2 linked regions of the Drosophila melanogaster genome follow. The protein of the gene in region 1 interacts with the protein of each later gene in a pairwise test. Each region holds a gene or a part of one and is shown on either strand. Other genes may lie near its edges. The genes, in order: CG7483 and btz.

Region 1 (4,081 bases):
CAGTTGGTGCGCCCCCTCTTCAGCCAGAGTAAGTGCCTCAGTTCCGCCCTCCTGCGCTCCCTGGTGGCCCTATGCCTGGCCTCCTGGGCAGCACAGGCTGCCTTCTCGGCGGCGTTTTTGGTATTCTTGAAATCCACACGGGCCACCTCCAGCTGGCGGAGCAATAGCTCCACCCGCTTCTTGGCCGCTTCCACAAGCTGTTGCTTCTCGCCCAGCTCCTGCTGAGCGCCACTGGCCACGTGCTCCGAGTTGACCACATTATCCTGCGCATTCTTCACCGCCAGCGTAATGGTGTTCAGCTGATCTGCCGCCTGTTTGGCCGCTTGCCCGGCCGCAGCATAAGTAGTTTGGGTGGTCTGTAACAAGGTGCTCTCCTCCTGGACCACTAGCTCCCCCTCGCGCACCTCGGACTCCAGTTGCTCGACAATCTGTTGCTTGCCGGCCAGAGCAGCTTCTGCCGCCTTGGCTGCGGCCAGCGCTTTGTCGGCCAGTTGCTGCTTCACCTGGCGGGCAGCTGCCTCGCCAGCCTCTATCTGGGCATCGGATGCCTCCATGGCTTCCTTGGCCGCCTTCTGCGCAATGCATGAGGCCTTTACCCTGGTCTTTCCATTCATCTTGAAGTCGCACGGGGCACCGCCGGAGGATGACGACACACTGTTGTCGCCATCACCATGATGATCCGACATTAGAGCAGCTATCTCATTGGAGGACTGCGGCAACTTGTGGCCCGCAGAATGATCTGAGAACAGGAAGAAAAGTAGAAATGCGATTCGTGCTATCTCCATGCTTAACTCGAAATAGTTGTATTAAACGGATTTCTAAAGATATTTAAGAAATATATACTCCAGGTAACTTGTGGTTACTGTACAAATATTTCAAATAATAGTGATTTGAAAGGTGGAGCTGCTATATTCCCATTATTATCTCCACATTTCGATTTCCTGATGAGCCTTGAGATTTATGTACGATGCAAGATTCCCAATGCGTTGCGACTCCCTGGTTACGATGTTGCTTCTTTCGAACATCCTGCTGTCGACCGCCGCGCATCCTGCCCAGCGGAATGATCCGCGTTTCAAGCCCGGCTCCCTTCCCTGCAAGACGAGCATGAAAGCCAGCCAGGTGGCCTCGAAGGCGGCCAAGGATGCGAAGGACGCCAAGGATGCGCAGCCATGTGCCGCGGAGATGGCGGGCTACAGGGCACGGGAAATGCTGGCGGACAGGGCGTTGCAGGCGGCCAAGGCTGCGGAGGCGGCTCTCAACGGGAAGAAGCAGCTCCTCGATGAATACACCAAAAGTCTGGCAGAAACGAACAGGGTTATCGAGGAAATCCAACGAGCCATTGCTGCCAGCTCGTGCTCGGCGACGTCGGCAAAGGGGATCCGTGACAAGCTCTGCACATCCGTGAACATTATGAAGAGTATGCTAAAGGAAATGGGCGGAAATCTCGATAACATCCGGAGGATGGCCGACAGTGCCCAGAAAGAGGCCCTGGAAAAGCGCAGCCTTCTGAAAGCGGCCAGGATGCGGGTGGAAGAGCTCCATAGCTGCATGTGCGAGGCTCAGAAGGATCTGGAGCGAAATAAGCAGAGCGCTAAGAAGGCCAACGACGCCGCCAAGGAAGCACAGCAACGGATCGAAGCTTTGCAAAAACTGGTGAGCAGGATTAAGATGCTGAAGCGAAAGGATCTTCAGTCGCTCGAGAACTTCCTGCGCAGGAGAAGAAGTAGCACTCCGGAAAAAACAAGTTGAGTTTCTTGTTTGTTATGGCAATAATCATATTTATATTTTATAAAATACAATAAATAAGAACATATATTCACTTTAAATTTTTTCCGCCCGATATCAGTGTTGCCACTTGTCGCAAAATAAGTGAAAACATATCGATATCAAATTAAATCGACGCCGATTCAATAATCGATTGTTGCTAAGCAATTGATAGGCCACCCCTAGTAAGCGGACCGCATTTTTTTCTGTGAAAGTCAGAAAAATTAGCCGAAAAAGACTGTAAATATTTATTAATATCAGCCGAAACCGCACGCGAACAAATCGTGAACATGGCGCGCAAGAATGCCCAGGCGGAGGACCTCTCCAACGTGGAGTTCGAGACGAGCGAGGATGTGGAGGTGATACCCACATTCAACGCCATGAATCTAAAGGAGGAGCTGCTACGCGGCATCTACGCGTACGGTGAGTGGTGTGTATACCTATGGCCGGTCTAGAACTAATCCAGTTTTCTGCACTCCCAAGGCTTCGAGAAACCCTCGGCCATTCAGCAAAGGAGCATTACGCCTATCGTCAAGGGACGGGATGTGATTGCCCAGGCACAATCAGGCACGGGCAAAACCGCCACCTTCTCCATCTCCATCCTGCAGAGCCTGGACACCACGCTGCGGGAGACGCAGGTTCTGTGCCTGTCGCCCACTCGCGAGTTGGCTGTGCAAATCCAGAAAGTCATTCTTGCCCTCGGCGACATGATGAATGTCCAGTGCCATGTGTGCATCGGTGGCACCAACCTGGGCGAGGATATCCGCAAATTGGACTACGGTCAACACATTGTGAGCGGCACTCCAGGACGAGTCTTCGACATGATCAAGCGACGAGTGCTGCGAACAAGGTATGTTTCATTGTGCCCGATCAAACAATATTATAATTATAAGTACATTTTATAGAGCCATCAAGATGCTAGTGCTGGACGAAGCTGACGAGATGCTTAATAAGGGTTTCAAGGAACAGATATACGATGTGTATCGCTACTTGCCACCAGCCACCCAGGTGGTGCTCATCTCAGCTACCTTGCCCCACGAGATACTCGAGATGACCTCCAAATTTATGACAGATCCGATTCGCATCTTGGTCAAGCGGTAAGCAATATGATGCTCCCCCATATACGCAGTATGATTCATAAATTCCATTCCCTCACAGTGACGAATTGACACTGGAAGGCATCAAGCAGTTCTTCGTCGCCGTGGAGCGCGAGGAATGGAAATTCGATACCCTGTGCGATCTGTACGATACTCTGACCATTACCCAGGCCGTCATCTTCTGCAACACGAAACGCAAGGTGGACTGGCTGACGGAGAAGATGCGCGAGGCTAACTTTACAGTCAGCTCGATGCACGGCGATATGCCGCAAAAGGAGCGTGACGAGATCATGAAGGAGTTCCGAGCCGGCCAGTCGCGAGTGCTCATCACCACCGATGTGTGGGCTCGGGGTATCGATGTACAGCAGGTGTCGCTGGTCATCAACTACGATTTGCCCAACAACCGTGAGCTGTACATCCATCGCATCGGTCGTTCTGGTCGTTTCGGACGCAAAGGTGTTGCAATTAACTTTGTCAAATCGGACGATATCCGCATCCTGCGCGACATTGAGCAGTACTACTCCACACAAATCGACGAGATGCCCATGAACGTGGCTGACTTGATCTAAACTAATATTCTATCATTACTTTTATGTAACGCACTTTTCCTAGCCGTAACAACAAACGAATGAAGTAAATACATTTGAAGAGTATTTGAATTTCAATAGACAACCAAAATCTGTATAATAATAATAAATAACACGTAAGAATTTAATACAGAAACCAGTTTGCTTTTCAAATGGGTTAGGAGGGCTCAGGGGATGGGTGATTTACGTAAGTTCTTACGTCAAGGCGGGCACTTACAATTAAGAATTAATTGATGTTTAAGTGAGGTGTGCACTTAGTAATATTCTTTAAGACTTAACCTATTGCAAATGAGCTAAAAATGGTCATAAGCCTATTTACAAGATTTTATCTAATCAGATACCTAGAGACTTTGGTTTTGGCGAATCAAAAAGCGCGCTATAAACATAATTTAACACTACAATCTACGCTCGTCTGGCTCATCTCAGCTTAAAACTTCTGGCTTTTGCGGCAGCGCTGGAACGTACGAGCTGGCCGTCGATGTTGTTAGTGAGGATTGTCGCTGTTTCTTGCTTTCGTCTGATTTCAGAAGGGTGCCCAGAACAATGCCGAGGAAGAGAATGAGTCCTACTTGGTGGTTCGATATGAACTTTTTGGCGCAGTCGCTGGGGTTGTCAATGTTGAGGGAATAGATC
Region 2 (5,601 bases), about 19 Mb from region 1:
TTCCGCTGTGGCTGAATTCCTGAGGGCGTCATCCAACAAGCAGGTTGGCGATATGTCACTGGCCAGGGCGTTCCGTAGGGCAGTCGATGAGCACAAGCACTTCATGAACGAGGCGCGCAAGGGACACGGCATCGATAGGCACTTGTTTGGCCTGTGGTGCGCGGCGTATGAAAGCAAAATGGACATTCCCGCCTTCTACGACGATCCGATGTACACCAAGAGCGGCGGAGGAGGTAACTTTGTGCTCTCGTCCAGCACGCTGGGCTTCACGGCCAACGTTGGTTTCGTGGCGCCCATGGTCTTCGATGGCTATGGCGTCTTTTACTCCATCACCTCGGAAGCGTAAGCTAGACACTCCTCCATTATCTTGAATTGTTCTTTAATTTCGTACATTCTAGTGTGTTCATTAATACCACCGCCTATCGGGATAGCCTAAAGACAAGCGCTCGCAAGTTCAACGACATTTTCAAGGACTCATTCCGCCGCATCAGCGTTCTCCTGGAACAATTGGCCAAGGAATCCAAGCTATGAAAAGCTCATCTAGTATTAAGAAAAGATCTAATCTTACTTTATGTCGTCATTGAAATTCAGTTCTCATTTTTAGTTCCAATCAGAAAGTAGATTTTTGGTTTTTCTTTCCATTTTGTTTCAATTAGCACAATTACCTAGATTTTAACGAACAGTCGAATTTAAATATTTTTTATTTGAAATTGGATCCCTAGTTCAACCCACCTTTCACCGGAAACTAAGTGAAAACGCAGACTTCGTTGGTAGTTTGTAGTTTGACAGAAAGGGTGTGCAGCATTTGTAACTTCGTGTTAAACGTTTATTTAAATTCAATGATCGATTAGTTTTTGCAAATACATTTCTCTCGGTAATTCTTGTGTTTCAATTCTAAAATGCGGCTAAATAAGCTAAGCGCCCAGCCGCTTCAATACGTTAGCCGGCCCTAGATACTACGTACAAATTAATTGGAGCTTGCGCCGGATTACAATATATATATATATAATCGTCTATATACGAAAACTTTTCGTTAGTAATTTCGATTATCTGGGAGCTAAATGCTAATTACAAGTGGTTCTCACTGCGTTTCTTTATTTATGCAGTACTTTTTGAGTCGCAGACCCAAGGACAGAATGGGGGAAAAAAAATCGTATGAGTTGAGTTAGGAGCTGGGCTGTCCGCACTAGTGCGGCGGGGGCGGAGGTCGATAGTAGCCAGCGTGCGGCTGCAGCATTGAGTAGCCGGAGGAGGGCGGCGGCGCTATCCGTTGGCCTCGTCTCTGCTGCTGCTGTGGCGGCAAGCCGGCGTACGCCTGCACTCATTCCTGCCCAGTGGCCGGAACTGGCTGAAGGTTCTGCTCGGCAGCCGGTGGAGTGGCTGCCGCCTCTTCCTTTGTTCCCCCACCTGGAGTTGCGCCTTCGCCGGTAGCCTGGAAGGCCGAAGGTCGCTGCACGAACATGTTGTCAATGATGTGATCTATGTTGTCCGAGATGCCCTCCTCCTTCGCTCCACCCTTGACCTTATGCTTTTCGGAGGGCGGGAGAATGGGAATCGCGTTGGTGGGACGACGCTGGGGCAGAGCACTTGGTCGGCTAGTGGTTTGAGCCGGCGGTACAAAGTAGGTTGTGCCACCGACCGTGTTGTAGTTCTGATACGGCTGAGCCGGCTGCGTTGCGGGCGGCGCCTGAGCGGGCGGCGGTGTGGGTTGTGTTACAACCGGAGGCCCTGCTTGGGCGTACGCCACGGCAGCCGGAGTGGTTGGCAAGTAAGCGGCACTAGCCGGATTAACATACGGTGCCTGGGGAACGGGCACTGGAACTGGCTCCGTTCCGGTCACATAGTACGGTGCCGCCTGTGCTTGCGGATATGCGGCTGCCGGCGGGGCATGTGGCTTTGGTGGTGTTGGAACTGCTCCTGCGGCAGTAGGTGGTCCAAGTTGCATGGTCTGCAGTTGGGCCTGCAGCTCCTGTTGCTGATAGGCGATCTGCATCAGAACATGGGGGTCCTGAATCATGATCTGCGATTGTTGCTGCTGCTGTTGCTGTTGAAGATGCAACTGCTGCTGCATCTGCTGTTGCTGCTGCTCAGCCAAGTGCTGTGATGCCTCCTGCTGTGAGCGACGCAAGCTGGAGTAGCGCTTGGGCGCATTTCGTTGTTCCTGATGCAGTGGCTGCTGCTGCTGCTGCTGAGGCGCCTGATTTTGGCTAGCCAGAGAATGCATCTGGACACTGCCCACATGGCTGGGATCATTGCGTTGCTGCACCTGCTGGAGCCGCTGCGAAAGGTTCGACGTGGAAAGCGGCGTCTGTGGAGACTGCTGCGGCTGGGACGGCTGTCGTTGCTGCTGTGGCTGTTGCTGATGATGAGGTTGCTGCTGCGGCTGTTGTTGTTGGTTGGAGCGTGGAGTGGATGGCTTCTGGTTACGGTTGTCCAGTTGGTCTGGCCCCCGCTCCCGCTCTCTTAGCTGCTGTCCACGGTTGTTCTTCTTAAATTCCATGCCATTCTGACGTCCGGGGCCGCCGTTCATCCGCCCGAAGTTGCGATTCTTGGGCTCTCGATCGCGTTCCCGCTCCCTTTCCCTCTCACGTTCACGCTCCTGGGATCTGTGTGGATTGGAGCTACTGGCCAAGGGCTGTTGCTTCTCTGGAACCAAGCCTTCAGCAGCGACGGACCGTCGGTTTTCCTTTTCCTCACGCGAGGATGATGTTCGTGGACCACGTGGCTTTCTTTCGTTGAGCGCCGGGAAGTCCTGTGGCCGCGGCGGCTTGCGCTCCTTATTGCTGGCTTTGAGGTAGGCCTGCTCGTCCTCCCAGTTTCTTGAGTATTTACTAGGCCCACGCGTATATCGCCGGCGACGTCTGGCTCTGGGTGGTGCGTCCTCGTTTCTAATGTCGTAGCCGTATGTTTGCAGCAACTCTGCACGGGATTTGGGAGCCTGCTCCGTGGCCTCGAATCGATCGTGAGACCAGCGATCACCGCCTGAAGCTGGTTGCCATTTTCGCATGGTCTTCGATGCCTGTGAGATCTGTGGCGTTTGGCCAGTCGGCGTGGCACCGGCGGCCGCAAGTCCATTGAGTTCGCCATTTGGCTCCGCCGCCGCCTGGCCAGCACCGTTTTCGGGTTCGATCAGGATTTCTCCCTCGGTCTCCGCCGTCCGATCGTCGTGCTCGTAGAAAGTGCCCCGCTTTGGGATGTACTGCGGATTGCTGCGATCCTCGTCCACCTTCTTCTGGGCCTCACTGTCTGCGACGGAGCGGTCCATCGCCTGCTCCCCTTCGCCATCGTCCGTTTCGCTGCCCACCTCATCGTCCTCGTCGTCCGTCTCAGATTCCTCCTCGCTCCCACTGCCACTGGCGCTGCCGCTGGCACTCTCCTCGTCGTCATAGTCCTCTCCGCCCTCCAGATCACTGGCCGTGTCGTACTCGGAGTCGTGCGGATGCGAATTGGAGTTGGGCTCCTGGGTGGGCGAGGTGCCCGGCTCGACGTCCACGGTGGTATCCGCTGTGGGCGTTACAGCCACTGGCGCCTCGCTGGCAGGTGCAGCCGTGGCCTGGGGGATGTCGGTCGGGGGCGTGGCCGCCGTTGGTTTCTCCACTTCGGCCATCGCGGGGTCTCTTCGGTTTTCTGCCTCGCTACTGCTGCTGCTGCTTCTTCTGCGGAATGACATAGAACGGGATTCTAGGTGTCACTGGGATATCCAAGCCAGGGCTCCGTATATCAACTCACGTGCGAATTCTTGACAAGGCCTAACTACTCTAGTAAGCGTGCTTCTTGTTACGGTAAATTCTAAGAAAAAACCAATAATTTCGCACAATTTTCTCGACAACAACGCAATCAGAAAATAGAAAGTCTAGGGTTACCTTTCTCTCGCCGCAGAGATGCCACACTGTTGAAAACGTAACGACAGGGCGAGAAACGTAGCAATGTGCATACGTATTGAAATAGTGGCAGCTCTGGTAGTTACCGGTTCATGTTAGTAATAAAAAACATATAGAACATAGAACATAGAAAAAATATTCTATTACTTTTTTTTAATAGTTTACAATATTAAGTATCTTTGACAAAAATTCACCTTTGAAGTATAGAACTAAATCCTTAGTATTTCTTTAGTGGCTATCGAAAACGGTATCGACGGCTGGACATCGCTGGCCAGCTGTTGTAGGGGAAGGAAAGAGAGCGTAAAGCGGAGTTCGAATAGAGCGACAGACGATTAATTAATATCACTTGGAATCAGAAGTCGGACAAGAAGCAGACTCCGCAGAACAGGAAAAGATGTCGAAGTTTCTGGGCGTGCCGCTGAAGAAGCCGTCGGAGGTGGATGTGATCAAGCCGCTGAACAATCTCATCCAGAGCACCTACAACGGTGCGTCGGAGGAGGAGAAGGGCAAGTACGGAGAGGCCGTCAACGAATTTTCGAAACAACGCAATACGGCAATTTGGAAATTCTTTGAAAAGTACGAGGCTTCGCTGGAGATTGTGTACGCGTAAGTACCACCATGTCTTTGTGGCCTTCTTCCGGGAATCTCCCGATGAGTCACCCGCACAACGGGGCAGCTAATCACACCCATTCCATTCGATTCGATTCCACCTGGTGCTTCTGTATTGGTGTGGTGGTCAGACGTAAACAAGCTCTCGGATGACGTAGTCGTTAACTAAATGTTTTGCCTCCGGGTTTTGTTGCCTGCTCTGTATTTCCAGCTATTATGACCAGATTTGTGCGCTGGAGACCAAGATATCGGTTAGCGAACTTCAGATACCCTTTAAGTGGAAGGATGCCTTCGACAAGGGCTCCATTTTCGGCGGCAAGATCAGCCTGAGTGAGTGATTCATTGCCATGTGCCAAGTATATTTCACCACTAACCCAACGGCATCCACCATCCACAGCTCACACCTCCTTGCTTTACGAGAAGGTCTGTGTGCTCTTCAACATTGCCGCCCTGCAGAGCAACATCGCTGCCAACCAGTCCCTGGATTCGGATGACGGCCTTAAGCTGACCATCAAACTGCTCCAGCAGAGCGCCGGCATCTTTCAGTATTTGAAGGGAGCGACGCCAGCGGCAGTGCCCTCGGAACCCACGCCCGATCTCAGCCAGGATACGCTAACCGTGCTGCAGGCTCTGATGGTCGCCCAAGCGCAGGAGGTTTTCATTCTGAAGGCAATTAAGGGTATGTAAAATTAATTCACAAAGAGCACGAACACCGTTCACATTTAAATGCTTATCTATGAGCAAAATTTAGTTGTTTACATTGGGCGATAAACTATTTTATCAGGTAAAAGCGTCTTTGGCATACAATAAAAGCACTCAATGCAATATTTTTCGGACAAAGCTTATCCGAAGATATTACTTTTGATACGTGGGGACATTACCCAGTTATTTCCTTTGAAATTATATGATAAGAACGATTGAAATGAATCATTCCATTCAACAAAAATAATGTACCAATCAATGGCTCTAGAGTAATGGAAACACATTCCGCTATGAATCGAGGTTAACATGTTCAAGTATTTACATTCCGGCAGATAACTTGAAGGACCAGATCATCGCCAAGCTTTGCTGCCAGGCGGAGGAGTCTTACGCCGATGTGCTGCGCGCTATG

The links.
Region 2: the proteins of CG7483 (region 1) and btz interact in a two-hybrid assay, tested with the Drosophila melanogaster proteins (one study listed by BioGRID).

The regions. Positions count from the first base shown.
Region 1 is NT_033777.3:8,311,284-8,315,364, forward strand, and holds CG7483 (uncharacterized protein), read left to right. Parts: upstream 1-1,924; 5' UTR 1,925-2,054; coding exon 2,055-2,187; intron 2,188-2,247; coding exon 2,248-2,614; intron 2,615-2,669; coding exon 2,670-2,861; intron 2,862-2,922; coding exon 2,923-3,430; 3' UTR 3,431-3,581; downstream 3,582-4,081. Other genes in the region: CG11694 (uncharacterized protein), read right to left, coding at 1-785; CG11698 (uncharacterized protein), read left to right, coding at 961-1,749; Coq2 (coenzyme Q biosynthesis protein 2), read right to left, coding at 3,871-4,080. UniProt on the Drosophila melanogaster protein: ATP-dependent RNA helicase. Core component of the splicing-dependent multiprotein exon junction complex (EJC) deposited at splice junctions on mRNAs. Involved in exon definition of genes containing long introns, including the rolled/MAPK gene.
Region 2 is NT_033777.3:27,698,654-27,704,254, reverse strand, and holds btz (barentsz), read right to left. Parts: upstream 3,831-5,601; 5' UTR 3,671-3,830; coding exon 1,322-3,670; coding exon of another isoform or gene 1,187-1,321; 3' UTR 810-1,186; downstream 1-809. Other genes in the region: CROT (carnitine O-octanoyltransferase), read left to right, coding at 1-342, 399-531; ALiX (ALG-2 interacting protein X), read left to right, coding at 4,276-4,487, 4,702-4,820, 4,888-5,169, 5,525-5,601.